Linked DNA regions of Rhinolophus ferrumequinum. The protein of the gene in region 1 interacts with the protein of each later gene in a pairwise test. Links are inferred from orthologs where the notes say so. Each region holds a gene or a part of one and is shown in the gene's direction. Other genes may lie near its edges.

Region 1 (7,733 bases):
CCAGCCGCCTCAGGGCGGGGTGGCCCTGGCAGACACGACACAGCAGCAGCAGCAGCCGCCGGCGGGCCCCAGCGTCACGGTTATCCAGGGCCTGCAGCCGGGCAGCCTCTGCCGGGTACAAATCCTGCAGCCAGAGGTTCCCGGCCAGCCCTTCCAGGGGCCAGGCCACCAGGAGGCAGTGTTCGGCGTCGCCGGGGACTGCCAGCAGCACAGCGATGGTGAGCTCCAGGTGCTCGTGCTGCACCTCGAGTAGCAGCTCCTCCGAGGCCACACTGGGCAGGATCAGGCACCCGAGCAGGCTGCCAATCGCTGGCCAGTTGACGGAGGCCGTCAGTGCCTTGCGGAGCAGCCCCAGCAGGACGCGGGAAGAGAGGTAGCCGCCCACCAGGAAGCGGTCCCAGGGGCTGCTTCCCCGGGGGCGGAACTCAAGCTGTGTCCTGCGCACAGCCCAGCAGCGAGGGTCCCTGGCCACAGTGTCCACGCCTGGCACCAGGCTCCACAGGCCCGGCTCCAGCATCAGGGGTGCCAGGAGGCGCACATGGTCGGAGCAAGCCCCCACCTGCAGGCCATCATAGAGCGGCCCCCCGGGGACAAGCGCCCCAAAGGGCAGTTCAGGGAACTTGCTCTGCAAGTAGGCCTGGAGCTCCAGGGCAATGTCGCCGGCCAACTGTTTGGCCAGAGCCACGTGGGACATTGCGGTGGTCACGTGGTCCCGCTCGAACAGCAGCAGCTTCTCCTGGAACGTCAGGCACAGCGGTGCTGGGAGGCCACGCTGAGGCGGCGGCGGCGGCGGGTTAGCGTCTGCGGGCCCTGCAGCAGAGTGAAAGGCCAGAGAGCCGGTCAGCAGGCCCTGGGACAAGCCGAGAACTCCACCCCGGTTACTGACTGTGCCAGCCCTGGGCCTTTTTCCTCACCTGTAAAATGACCCCGAGAAAGGACTTTGGTCCTCACGTACAAAGAGCACTTTGACGACAAATTCCCATTGCCCAGACCCCAACACTCTGGGGCCGAAAAAGCTTCATGCAGAGTGGGGAGACAGGTCCTGAGCCTCAGTTTCCCCATCTGAGGCCCCCCCACTGTCATAAGTCTGCTGCCCTGCTCCGCTACCACCCCCTCCGCCACATGTCCCAGCAGTTGGAGCCTCAGTAGTTGGAGGGCAGAGAAACAGAACCATTAAACATGCAAGGAGCCTGCAGCAGTCAGTCAGTGGCAGGTCCTGGGCTGCATCTCCTGAATGTGACCACCAAAGGGGGACCCACCCCGGTCAGCGGGGAAGGGGTGCCATTCACCGTGGGCAGAGGGCAAGCGGGCGGGGAGCAGCACAGGCTGGCTAAGGGCAGCAGGTGGGGACCGGGACTGTAGGCGTGGAGCGGTCTTGAGCAGGCTCAGTTCCTTCCAACTGTCCTCCAGGCATGTGCTGTCCCCCTTGGTGTCATCTTCATCCCGAGGGCTGGTGGCCCTGTCAATCAGCTGCGGGCAGAGTGACAGAGATCAGAGCGTCCAAATCCTGGGCAGCCACGGCAAAGCCCAGGGGCAAAGCAAAGCAGGCTGCTGGGTAGAGAAGCAGGTGCCAGTCCTGGGCAGGCCCCGGCCCTGGCATCCTCCCCTGTGAGCCCCAGGCCTTACCCGCTTCACAGCCAGGGTGGCAATACCCAGCACGGCAGCCCCGCCCACGCCCAGCACCAGGCGGGCATTGGCCAGGAGGAAGTCCACAGCATTGCCCAGCACGTCGTCGTCATGCCGCTTCCCCCGCTTCTGGAAGAACAGTACCATGTCTGTCTGCCTGTAAGAGAGCCAGGGTGCAGGGACCACTGAGTGTGGGGGCAGCCAGGCTGGCAGTGCGGCAGGTGTGGGTAGGCACTCTGGCTGCCATCACGCTGGGGTCTCTGAGTCAAGCCCACAAGGTGGATTCCCGAGTTTCAGAAGAAAGGGGCCACTCAAGGGGTTTCTTGTGAGGAGATGGGGAACTGCCTGAGCCCCCTTCCCCAAACCTGTCAACAACCCACCCACCCCCTGGACAGGGGGGCTCACACAGAAAGGCCCTGGATAGGTCAGAGAAGGGGGCCCATCTCCCTGACCCTCCCACCCAGGACTCCTGATGTCACCAAAGACTCATGAGGAAGGTCTTACCATCACCCCAATTTTACAGAGAAACGGGCTGCTGAACCATACGTAAGTAGTGGGTTCTTGGATCCACGACCGCCAAGCCTCCAGACTCTTGCCCACCCCCCGAGTCCCATCAGACCCCGTCTGCGGTCAGGTCCTAGAGGCTGCCTCACCCTGCTTCCTCACCCCTGGCACAGCAGGAGGAAACAAGGCCCAGAGAAACCACAACGTGGGGTCCCAGACAGCCTGCCCTGGAGCGCGTCTCAGACCTCAGTGAGGCCAGTCACCCCCAAATCTTGACAAGGTAGCCGCCAGAGGCAGAGCTATCCAGTGAGATGGCCCAGGCTGTGGGGGGAGGAGCGCGCACGAGCTGCCTGTCAATGGACATGTGCTGGTCAAAGCCAAAGGCCCCGCTGCGGGGACAGAGGGCAAAGTAAACACGAAGACTCCAAGCAGAGGACGGGCCCAGGGGCCAGGGACCTCTCTTGGCCTCTTGGGCTTGGGACAATGGGGAGGTGGGGAGCTGCCCTCAGCTGCACGGAGCCCAAAGAACAGAGAAGGTAAGCTGAGCGCCGGAAGCCTCAGCTATCTGCTCACCTGTAAAGTGGCACAGACAGGGTTAGGGAGAGGAGCCCAGAACAGTGGGGCTGGGTGGGTCAGGCACTCGGGAGGCAGAGGCAGAGACCTCTCCCACGGCCCCATCCACCACGCCCCAGCGGCAGGTTCCTCTAGGGGGACTCCTGCCGTCAGGCCCTGGGAGCTGAGAGTGTGTGATCAAGAGGGACGCTCAGGGGACCGACCAGTCAGACACCAGGCAGCACTGGCTCACTGAGGACACCTGAGCAGATGACCCTGAGCTCGGAGCCGGCTAGGGCACCAAGGACTTCCACCCTCCCTGCCTGGGGCTGTGGGCACTTAGGGCTGTTGCCAGGTTACGAGATGCCAGGACAACACCCGCCCCGCCCCCCCATTCGCCCAGACTAAAAATAAAAACCGGCTCCGGGGCCTGGGTTGGTGAAAGGCTGGCAGGGTGCCCACTACAGCACAGCAGTCAGTTCTCTCACAGGTGACCGGTATGGCCACCTGCCTCCAGAGGGACGGGGAAGCCACTTTGCAAACAGTAAAGTGCTTTCAATACCCCACACCTGTCTAAGCTAGGACTCAGCCCAAACCCTGGCAGGGTCGCGCAGGCCCCAACACGCAGCCTGCCCACTCGAGGAAAGGGAGGAGGGCGCGGGGGTTAAAAATAACCTGACTGCGCAGCCTGGCGGGGTAGAGCCCTGGGATGCCGCTTGTCCTCCCCTCCTCCGCCAAACCCAGGACGGGGGCTGAGCGGGCCGCGGAGCAGCCCCTGAAGACCTGTCAAGGCCCGGCTCACAGGGGACCTCACCGAGGCCCTGAGAAACTAAGTGATGTACCCGAAACGGGATTCGAACTCCAGCCTGAGGGCCCAAAGCCATTCCCTCCTTCTCTGGCGGTGACCGCCGGCCGCAGCGGTGGCCCCGCCCCCGACTCTCCACGCCGGGGCTGGGTGACCCGGGCCGCCCCGCTCGGGCCGTACCTGCGTCGCTGCTTCAGCGCACCAACTGTCGGAGGTAGCGGGTCTTCTTGGGCCCCGGACCCCGACCCGCCCGGGAATGGAATGGGAAGGACCTGGGAACCGAACGCTAAGGCTCCGGGGGCGGTCGCTGACCCCGGAACGCAAGCAGACGAGCAGGTCCTAGCCCCAATCGGAGTGCTCAAGGCCCGCTCCCTCGTTCCAAAATACTATGCGGTTCAGCCAATGGTGACCAGGCCACGCCCCCTAACCGCGTTCCGCGCTCTGCGGAGGTGGGACTTTCTGACGCATCCCGGATTTAAAGGCGCAGAGTTGTGTTCCGAGCCTCCCGCCCAGCGGTGTGGTGGCACAGCCGGGGGTTGCGGAATGAGCTGGCTGGCCTTCCGGGCCCCTTGTGACGTGTGTGTGATTGTAATATGAGCTTCTGGTTTGGAGAAAATTATCAGCGCCCCCGTTCCTTCTAGGGGCAGGGCAGACAGTCGGCACTTGGCCCAGAGGCGCGCAGGTCTGACCCTTTAGGTCACTTCTGCGAGAGTGCCTTGGTGGCCTCGTTATTATCTGTTGGCCTGCGGGGCACACAGCGTGACCCAGAACTACCCCTGCCACCAGCTCCGTGTGACCTTGTGCCGGCCACTTCTCCACCCGAGCCTCAGTTTTCTCTCCCGTGAAATGGAAACGCCAGGCCCCCTCCACCCTTGCGAAGGATGGTTGTGCATATGACCTGTGGTTCATTTGTTTATTGGGGAGCGACTATGTGCGGGTCAAGGGGAGCGAGCAAGCAAATGAATGGACGTGAGGGGCTGCTGACTCTAAGCAGAAATAACGCGCCACTTACCGAGTGCTTTCTGTATGCCGTGAGCTGCAGCTGCGTTTGTTCATTTGTTTCTGGCGACAACCTTAGGAAGCACTTCACAGATGAGGAGAAACAGGCCAGGAGGAGGTCTGGGCTTGCCCACAGCTCCGGGACGCTAGGGCCTCTGCGTCCCACTACCGCTGGTAGCCACACAGGGCCCAGGGGGTGAACAGAGACTCCCGGGCCTTCTGCGCCCCCCGACCTGGGTCCAGAACCTCCCCGGCCACAGCCAACTTCAGTTGCGGCTGCAGTGCAGCGGACAGCGCCCGTGACACAGCCCCGGCCCTGGGGCTCACGGACTTAGCCTGGAGGTTATGAAGCCACCTGCGGGGAGCACCGGGACGCCCGGACTCCTCGAGGTCCCTCCAGTACTCGGACAGACAGGGAAACTGAGGCCCGGGGAGGCCTAAAGACGCCAGGGGAGGGGGCCGGGGCTAGAGGGGTGGGGCCTGACTCCGCCTTCCCGCCGGCCCGGGCGGGGGCGAGTTAAAGGGGCGGGGTCGGCGCTGGCCCAGCCCGCGGCTCTCCCAGCCGCCCCCAGCGTCTGGCCCGGCCCGGCAGCAAGAGCAGCGCCATGGAGGCCACTGGAGTGCTGCCGTTCGTGCGCGGTGTGGACCTCAGCGGCAACGACTTCAAGGTGAGGCGACCCGGCGGCGGGCCGGGCCCCGCTCTAGGCCGTCTCTTCCGCTCCAGCCCGCACCGGTCTCTGCTTCCTGTCCCGTCCGCCCCCGGGCCCAGTACCGCTCGGGACTGCGGGCGGGGCCGGGTGGGGCTCTCCCGGGGCTCGGGTTCCCCGCCCGGAACGGATCCCCAAGATCTCCTTTCGGTGCCCTTACGGGAAGACCGAGGCCGGGTCGGGCCGGCGTGGACGCTTGGGTTCGGAGTCACGCTAGGGATGGGCTGAGAGCCCCCACCCCGTGTCATCGTCCTGGCATCTGGGCCCCGCCGGGGCCGGAGAGTGGAGCGGGGTCGTTGAGCTCTGCTCCCACCTCCCCAGCCCCCCTTCCCCGTCCCGCTGAGGTCACACGCCCAAGCCAGGCCCTGACTCACTGTCGCGCTGCAGGTTGTTGGGCTGTCCCCGGGCGGGTCTGGAACTCTTCACGGCCACTGCTTTGTCCCTGCCACCGCCATACCCGTCCTGTGTGGTCTTGGGCAAATCACTTCCTGTCTCACAGCCTCGGTCTTCTCATCCAGTAAAGGGGCTTAAAAGTAGTCCTCTTGGAAGCATGGATTAGTTGGTGTGGAGAGTGTGTCAGACATTTGTGCGAGGCCCTGGGTAGCCGTTGTTTGAGCAGCTTATGGACTGACAAGACCAGGGCCACAAGGAGCCTGAGCCCAGCCTTCCAGCCAGTTAGTGGGCGAGGTGGCTCTAGAGGCAAGGATGAGGTGAGCAGTGCCGGTGACCAGAGGAGTCAGGGCAAGAGTGGAGGTGAGAGCTGCCTGGAGTAGTACCAAGAGGGGCAGCCCCTGCTGCAGGGTGGGTGAGTGGGCAGACTCAGGCCCGAGTCAGTTTAGCGTAAGGGAGCCCAGGCTTCGGCTGGGGTCGTGGGGCCAGGACTGAGGGGAGGCTGGTTCTTCCTGCACTTACCCACATGTGCACACACCTTTGACCCCATGCACCGGTGGCCACACCACTTTCAATGCCTCCATTCGCACTAATCTCACCTGGGGTCTCCTTGTGTCCTCTTCAGACGCGGAGTCTGAGTCACTGGCGGGGAACGTGGCTATAGGGGGAAGGGGACACAGCCAAGGGCACTAAAGGCACATGCTATCCCAGGCTCCCTGCCACAAGGGCTGGGGGTACTGGGGTGGGCATTTGAATGTGGGGAATGAATGGGTAAACAAATGAACAAGGCAGTGCCTGTGCAGGGTGGGGAGCTGGGGCCTTGCACCGGGGGTTGGGCCTTGCCATAAACGGCTTGTATGCTGATGGCAGGGTGGGGGCACAGGTGGGACCTTGGCACAGCCTCAGGGGGTACCCTCACTTCTGGTGGCCCAGGCAGAGCCTGGAATGCTGGGCAAAGGCATGTGAGCCACACAGCTGGACACTGGAGGTGTTACCTGGAACAAGCCAGTTTCATCCCGACCCTCCTGGGACTCAGAATCCAGCAAGAGAGACAGATCTTAGGCCAACAGCCATGCTGATAACTACTTGGTCCTCACAACACTTTTGTCCTCAGAGGGCTTTTATTAGCCCTATTTTATGGATGAGGAAATGGAGGCACAGAGTGGCAAAATGATTTGTCCAGGGTCACACAGCTGGTGAGAGTTGGCTCTGTTGCTCCCCAAAGGCTTCCATGGGCAGTTGGGGACGATAGAGGGTGGTAGAGCAGGGACGTTCCTGTCCCAGACCAGCCTCACCATGGCATACCCCCCAGGGAGGCTACTTCCCTGAGAATGTCAAGGCCATGACCAGTCTGCGATGGCTGAAGCTGAACCGCACTGGCCTCTGCTACCTGCCAGAGGAATTGGCTGCTCTGCAGAAACTGGTAAGGGGCTTTCAGCAGGCAGGGTGGGTCCCTGTGGGTGGGGCTGGGCCAGGTGGGCGGAGCCTGTGCAGAAAGCCGCGGAGGAAGATGCTGATAACCACGAGTAGAGCTGGCAGAGAGGGAGGGAGGCTGCACGGGTGGACTGCGCCATGTGTGGCTGAGGGCCACCCCGGATGGTGCAAGACTGTGGTGGCAGATGGGGCCTCCGCTGAGCCTCTGCTCCCTTGTCCTGGCCCAGGAGCACTTGTCTGTGAGCCACAACCACCTGACCACGCTTCATGGGGAGCTGTCCAGTCTGCCATCGCTTCGGGTGAGTGCTGCTGGAGGCCACCATGCTTGGAGGTGGGGATTCGAGTCCAGCCAGAGGTGTGAGGACAGAGCCAGACCCAAGCTGGACTAGCACCTCTGCCTATCCCTGTGTCAGGCCCAGGGGCCTGTCCCTAAAGGGGAGAGGATATAATGATGCCCTGTGTTAAGTAACCCATGGGGCAAAACGTAAAAAAATCCAAAATCCCACCCTTTTTGGACAACTACAATAACAACAACTAATAGTGGCTAAGCACTGCTCCGACTATTTCCACGTGGGTTTTTTCTTACAATCCTGACTTCTCCCAATTTCACAGATGAGGACACTTGGCCGCAGAGGCAGGTCACTTGCCGGAGGTCACACAGCCACACATTGGCAGAGCTGGTGTAGGATGGGGTTTAGCCGGGAGGGGAGGTAGTC
Region 2 (7,390 bases), on another chromosome or scaffold:
TCAGTAAGAATTGAGCAGGTCAGCGTTAAGGCTGGCACGCTTGGGAACCCTTGCTGTAACCGACAGAGCAGCGTATCATTGTCCAAATGCTAGACAAGAGACTCTGTCTGGGTATTTCCACTCTGACTCATTCATTTCTTACTAGGTTACTGTTACTTTGTTTTCACTAACTCACCAAAGATAAACTGTTAGAACTCTGTCAGAATGGTAACTTGCACACAAAGTAAAACTAGTCCTCAGTGGCAAAGCAGATACCCATTTTTATAATAAGGATGGGTCCAGGGTCAGGGAAACCTTTCCTTGTCACTAAGATTTGTGACAAGGAAAAGGAGGCAGTAAATGTTCTCTCCTAGCCCACTGGCTGTTTTGTGTGCTGGTTTCTCATCTGTTGAATCAAAGCTATTTCTGAAAGTCAAGTACCTTTTCCATTAGTCTGGCTCTGCCCCCTCCCCCTGAAACCCCTTGCATGACTCACCACTAATCATAGTAGTTTACCTTTGAAATACTGTGTGCTTTTTGGAGTGTGCTGTGCTGGCCTGCTGGTAATATCAGGACTGCTGGTTAACTGCACTTGCGTGGACCAACATGGAATTGTACCTAGAGTTACAACAGCTAGCGGTAAGGCCACCCGTGAACTAGGTGGAAGATTTTGAATACTGGTTCTTATTTTTATCACAAAAAGAGCAATGGGTAATTGCAGCATTTGATAGCGGTATAAGATTGGCAAAAAGGAGAATATGAAAATAGAAAAGCCAATAATGGAGACTTCCTTTGGAATTTAAGCAGTTTTTTGTGATGGTATATAGGCCCTCGTCCGTTTATAAACCACATTTTCTTTCTAACTTTGTAATTACGCTATGAGATAAAGGAGGGTTGATGGCATCAAATTTTGCCTATCTGGAATTTGAGTGAGAGGGGCTAACATTAATTGAATGCAAAATAGCTTTATGCTGTTGCATTTCACTTAAATTGACGTTAAAACATGACTGGGAAGGGTTTACTTTTATTTGCTTTCTCAATTTATATTCTAAGGAAAGGACCTTTCAGAAAAAATATTGGCTCCTATACTTTTGATACTATAGGTCTGTATTGGTTGAATTTTTAAAACCTTATTAAACTCTCCGTCCTCACTTTTCTTCTTCCAATTTTCTACTTACACCATCTCTAAGAGAAGGGGCAAGACCATCAGAGAGCCAGAGTTTAAATCTGGCCACCCTTCAAAATAAACGGAGACTACACCAAACATAGCGGCAGCATGTTTTGGTCGTGGTAAAACAATTTCCAAAATTGTCTTGGACTTCTAGCATCCAGTTTTTTCCTTTTGATTATAAGGTTTTACTGTGTAAAGAGGGAAATCACGTCTGTTAGGTGATGTGGAGGTTTGGTTGGTTGTTCCTTGATTTTCTTCCTGGAAATTGAGAGGTAAGTGAAAAGCCCGAACCCCATTAGTTGAGCTGTACCTGGGTTCCCACCTGACTCTGCAATTAACTATGTTTAGTAACAGTAATAGCCGTTCTGAATCTGCTCGTCTCATTCTGAATTGGACCATTGTGGATCGGACGAGTCAGACAAAGGCATGGAGGCATTAGCTAGAGAAAAACGCAGAGTGTAGCTTACGAACGTAATTTTTTCCCTTCAAAGACCTCTGTGTAGGCCACTCGGTCGCCCTTTCCTTAGTGGCTGTAAAGACATCCAAAGTTTGTCAAGTCTCCTGGACCTAAATTTAGCACCAATATCAGGTAGCGGGAGCAAGTGCCCCAGAAATCCAGGGGTGATCACAGTTGCTCCCCGTTTCCTCTAGGTTTTCTCTTTCCTTTTGCAGTGACACGGGAATGACTCCCAGCTTGTGCTTCCCCTGCACGGGGTCCATTCCTGCCGTGTGCTTGCTGGAGCCGTGAACTCCTTTGCAGAGGGCTCGAAATGCCGCCGGGCTGTGTAAATGCCTCGTCTCTACGGAGGCCGCCCCTCGCCCATGAGTGCTTTGTCCTGGGCTCCCCGGGCTTGCCCAGGGGGCAGCGGGATGGGCAGGGTTTGTGTTCCCAGGCCCCCGCCTGGGCAGCACTGACCCTGCAGGGCCCGAGCTGTTGCTACTGCTTTGTCTTGCCGTGTCACCCTCTCCGTGTGGCTTGGGCAGGAGCTTGGAAATGCATGTCAGAACAGTTTCTTATTACATTTCACTTGTTGCCTAATTTTCTTTCCCTTCTGTCTATAGAAATATTATGGGCTGGACACAAAATGGGGTGACATCGAGCAGTGGATGGTAGGCCTTGAATATGATTTTAAGATACGTCCATGGTTTATAATTGGATTCTTACACAGTTTAATTACACAGATAGATTCCTGTTGCACCATAATTTAATCCCGAGAGGTTTCTTCCGGGACTTGTGCATCTGGCCTGTTTGGTTACTTCCTGTGTGAGGCCTGGTTGGACCGGCCCTGGCCAGGCGTTGGGTCTGGTCTGTTCAGTACAAGCTGACTCCTGGAGTCTCCAGGCGGCTGTTTGTGGAGGTCTCTGACCTCCTGGGGCAGGGCACTGTCCGCTAGGGACACGTGGCCGGGAGCGTGTGTCCCCAGCATGAGAACTACCGTTGCCAGCCCATCTCACCAGAGGTCACACACTCCATTTCCTTCATTTACGATCACAGCCACCTGCCCGGTCACCCTCCTGCTGACCTTTATCCACCTTCACCTTTGGGTGCCCCCCCACCCCACCCCCCACCCCCCGTCTGCTGTGCCCACAGAAGCCATTGTCTTTGGGTGAGAAAACGCCTTCTCACCATTTTCCCAGGACAGCTTCTCTGCCTTCCTAAGTCAGTAGAGAGCTGGCTCATCCCTAATGATACCCTGTCCTCACGACCCCCCAGGAGGAGATGGTGCCCCGTGGCGTGAGGCTCCAGAAGGGACAGCATTCTGCTTGCTGCCCACGGTCCAGAGAACCTGGCTTCGCCCCCTCTCTCATGAATTCATGCACCTGAGTGCACTCTGCCTCTTCCTGCCCTTGTCACTGGCCTCTGGCCATCACACCTTTAGCATTTGAGAACCTGGCCAGTATGGAAATGTCTGTCCTATTATAATAAATGCCCCTTATACATAAAATAAGCCCTTATACAGGAAATATAAAATGGCCTCCTCACATCTCACCTGTATAAAATATCAAGGACAAGAGTTCTGAGAATACACAGAGCACACATTCTCCACCTAAACCATGATTAACCTCAACTTTCACTGTGTGTAAACCATCATTTTCGGCTTACATGGCACAGGCACATGTAGTTTTTATCGCCTCTTAAGACGCAGTTAAAAGGTGCGTCATTGTTTTCTGTACCACCGAGAAAAGCAAAAACTGCTGATTAGAACTGCAGGCAGCTCTGATTATAAGGTGTACCCCAGCCTCAGCGATGTCCAGATGTGAAAAACTGGGGGCATCGCAGAAGGCACAAAATACAGCGGGGAGCGTGCTGTCCCATTGGGCCTTCTGATTCACGAGGAGAAAAAGATTCTGAATGTAAGAAAAACGAAAGGGGTAGATTTAAATGGACCAGACTACAGCGCTTAGAAAAAAATTAAGACTCAGCTTCTCCTCCAACACACACTTGTTTTTAAAGGCAAAATGAAATATGCTAACTATTTGTGTGCTTAAATACCCCCCTTTAGAAGAAAGCATTTCTCCCCAGTGATGTAAGTGAAGGCTTTAGGCAAAGACAATACTTGTTTGACATTTATGTCTGAAATATTACTGTGTCGTGACGCAGCGGGACTGCCTGAGGCGTGTCCCTTGTTTGTCTAACCTTCCATACTGTTTTCTCCATTCTTTGGTAGGAAGACAGTGAGCGCTACTCCCGTAGATCGAGGAGAAACACATCGGTTAGTACGCGTTCATTCTGATCGAAATCTAAGTTGTATTTTTAGTGGTTGAAATAGAGATATGATACATGCATGGATATCTCAGTGATGTTAATTAAAGTCGTTAACTAAAACTGACATTAGTACCTAAACAAAGACTGTGGACTCAGCTTTTAACATTTTGATCTAACTTGGCTGGGGGGAGAGAGTGTTTGAGAAATTTCGGAGTATGAATATATTCCTGATAGTTTTCGTGGGTTTTTTGCTATCAAATACCCATGAATACTTTGCAGAGTAATGTGCATCGAGGGTGTGTATCAGCTCTTGAATGAAATTAATTGAAAGCCGTATTATCCAAAAACACCCTCCGTCAACAGAGATGCACAGACACAGCTCCTCGGCCAGGACCTCGGCTCAGGTCCACTGAGACTTTTTCCGAGGCTCCCGAGGGGCGGGGCCCCACGGCTGTCGGTTTCTCTCTGTGTTACAGTCACGCTTGTTTCATCCTTTCTCTCACTAGGCTTCTGATGAAGACGAGCGCATGTCAGTGGGTAGTCGTGGAAGCCTGAGGGTCAGTAACCTGCGTGGTCCGGTTGATGGTCCGAGTGCTTTGCTCTTTCATCCCTGCCTTCGTCCTTCTTCTTCGTTGTCCCTGGAGTCTTGGGGTCAATATCTAACGGACATAATGCTTGTTTAAAATCTAATCAGTGCTGGGCTGTTTCCTTGTTGTTGTAGACAGAGTATTAATAAGCGATGCACTTCTCCCAAGAGGGGAAGTCGTAATGTTTCTTTATGTATTTGTCCACATCACAAAACGGCCACCCCTTGACTGAGGTGTGAGGAAGGAGAGTGTGAAGGCACATTCTGTCAGTCACGTCCTATTTCACACACTCCTCAGTCAAATTTGAATCTCAGGGAAAATAACCGCAAGTTAAAATAATTACCATCCAGCGGTGTTTTGCGTAGCTTCTCAAAAGCTGCCGTGGGCTGCCTGGAGGAAAATCGGAGCAGATTGGATCTGTAAGGTCTCTGCCTGCTCACCTTCAGGAAATCTTCCTTTCTTCCACTTGGTGAAATCTCTTCGTCAGTGTCAGCTTAATGGTTGATAAACCCAAATACATGTTTCTCCTTAAACAGTCCCAAAATATTAACAGGTATCTTTGAAAAACTGTGTGCTTTGAGCAGGGCGGTAGAGAAACTGTGTGTAAGTCAGTAAATGAATCTGGGCGTGCCAGTTTAATTTGCCTTGCGGTTACAAGTCTGTGTCACTGCTGGTAATAATGAGGCCTCAAGACAGCCACCACATTTTACTTAATGACCCCATAGAGCGGGAGGTTTGTTTTCATCACGGTGACAATTAAATCATAAACCACTCCTAGACTTCTCGTATAGGCATTCAGTGTGCTGTAATGGGGCCATTTGTAACAATAAACCCTGAAGGTGATACCCTGGTGTGCTGTTGGGTGACTGTTATCATGGTCCTTGCGCTGCCAAAGGCAGATCCACAGTGACTTTGCCAGAAAGTTCCAAAGTCAGCTAAAGAGGTTCCTTGACCCTACGGCTGTCATGTCCTCACCGTTTCACGCCAGAGGAAGGAAGATGTATGCAACCAAAAACATTACACATGCCACACTCACTTTGCAGAATCCGAGGTAAGACCCAGAAATCAAGCTGTCGCATACGTAGGCTCAGGAGAAGGTTGAGTATTTTGTAGAGGAGGAAATAAAATTGCTCAGACTGCTTCAGATTTTAGGAATTACAGCAACATTTGCCATGGAGGTTTTATTTAATGTATTGGATTTTATGCTGGCTATTGTTCTAATGTAATTCCTGTTGCAAATACACGTGAGAGTTTGTTAAGATTTTAAATATTGCCTGTTTTGTTTTTGCTGTGATTTACTTAGTTTTTTTTGACTGATTTTGGCAACTCTCTTTTCTGTTGTTTTCCTTTTCCATCCTTACTTTGACAGTCGCAGCCTGACTTGCAGTCTGGCGGTCCCTGTGCCTGGGTGAGATGGTTGGATAGACTTGCAGTGTGATCCTAACGTGTTGTGTGACAGATAATAACCAGCGGTGTTTCAATTAATACCATTGTCTAAAAATCCAACAACATCTTTGTCTGAAAGACACATGCCACGTACCAGTCTTTACCCGGAGACTGAGGGCCAGAGGGAGGTGAGCCCACCAGAGTGTGTGGTCTTCTCCCACAGCTTCCTGGGCACAGCTCTGAGCCGCCTGGTCGGGCTCTGGAGCCCAGATATGGGTGCTGCCGCCCCACCCCCGTGGGGTCTTTGAATACCAGCTATTGGCCCCACACTGAGCCAGCAGCATGGAGCCCAAGAAGGGAAAAGGTGTCGTCTTATTTTCAAGGAACTCAAAACAGATCCAGAATTCCCCAATTCTCCATTTCTTTAAGATGTTCGAGTCATTTTATCTGATGGAAAACCCATTATTTTCTAATCCATATCCGTTCAAATTAAATGTACCGCCTGGTTGGTTCTTTTGCCACAAAGTGCCGTTTGAAAGAGACCTCTCAGTTCCAGAAGCAAGACGGAGGTTTTAGATTCAAATTCGGAATTTCCCATCTTCCGTGTGCCAGGAGAGTTTCTGCCCCTCGTGCCAGGGGAAGGCCTGTACATGTACATGGCACTAAACGGAAGAAAGATTTCTCCTCAGCAGAAAGGGCCCTCGGCCCAGGGCGGTCTGGCACTGACGCCATCGCAGCACACTTCTTCACTTAAAGAACTTTTCTGAAAGTGTTTTGTGCTTCATTTCTGCCCTCCCATTTCAAAATTACTTAGCAATTTCCTGTTTTTAAAATGGATTTTTACCGTTAGGGGGCAATGATCAGCGCCATACATCTGCCTGCATGGCAGCCTTGGTCCTGAGCCTCCTGGTGGCGCTGCTGTCCCCATGTGAGGGGCAGGAGATGGAGGGTGGAGTGAATTGCCTAGGACAGGGCGTCGCAGCCCTGTGTGGCCTAAGCCACCGGGAGGGAGTCCTGGGGGGACAGGTCATTACATGCAGAAAGAGCACTTCCACAGTGGCTCTGGCTGGCGAGGGCATTTCTGCGACAGTCATTTTAGCAACTCTTCTGTCCTCTAAGTAATTAAATGCGTTAGCAACATGTTTCTAGATCGTTAGCCTTTTTATTTTAAACGCACAGTGAAATTATATTTAAGGGCCAGTCTCTGGTGGAATGAAAGAACGTACATGTGAGCAATAGTAGGGACACTTTGTGCATTTCAGTTTGATTTTCAGCTTTTATTCTGTTTTAAAACTAAATGGAGGGCATCAAGTAGCGCCCGTACAAGTTTTGATTTTGCCGTTCTTATTTTGTCTCCCATCTCTGATGCCCTGGCAGGTGAGCTGTCTTTTGACTCAGTAGAAAACTAATCTCACACTGTTAATCAGAAACGCTAACAGTTGCCTTCTGCATGGTCCCGTGTGAAGTTTGTTGGTCCTCTGCTAGTGCTGCATGGTGGTGTTTCACTTTCGGACCAGTCACAGCTCACCCCTATAATCTCTGGTTTTGACAGGATGTTTA

What was found.
Region 2: the proteins of FLII (region 1) and LRRFIP1 interact in binary tests that used the Homo sapiens proteins (3 or more experiments, as listed by UniProt). The link is inferred for Rhinolophus ferrumequinum from reciprocal best matches to the Homo sapiens genes FLII and LRRFIP1.

Annotation. Positions count from the first base shown.
Region 1 is NC_046304.1:607,044-614,776, forward strand, and holds the start of FLII (protein flightless-1 homolog), read left to right. Parts: upstream 1-4,730; 5' UTR 4,731-5,091; coding exon 5,092-5,154; intron 5,155-6,895; coding exon 6,896-7,006; intron 7,007-7,244; coding exon 7,245-7,316; intron 7,317-7,733. Other genes in the region: MIEF2 (mitochondrial dynamics protein MID49), read right to left, coding at 1-810, 1,290-1,470, 1,627-1,783, 4,500-4,543. UniProt on the Homo sapiens protein: Is a regulator of actin polymerization, required for proper myofibril organization and regulation of the length of sarcomeric thin filaments. It also plays a role in the assembly of cardiomyocyte cell adhesion complexes.
Region 2 is NC_046291.1:2,592,030-2,599,419, reverse strand, and holds the start of LRRFIP1 (leucine-rich repeat flightless-interacting protein 1), read left to right. Parts: upstream 1-4,384; coding exon 4,385-4,414; intron 4,415-5,813; coding exon 5,814-5,852; intron 5,853-7,390.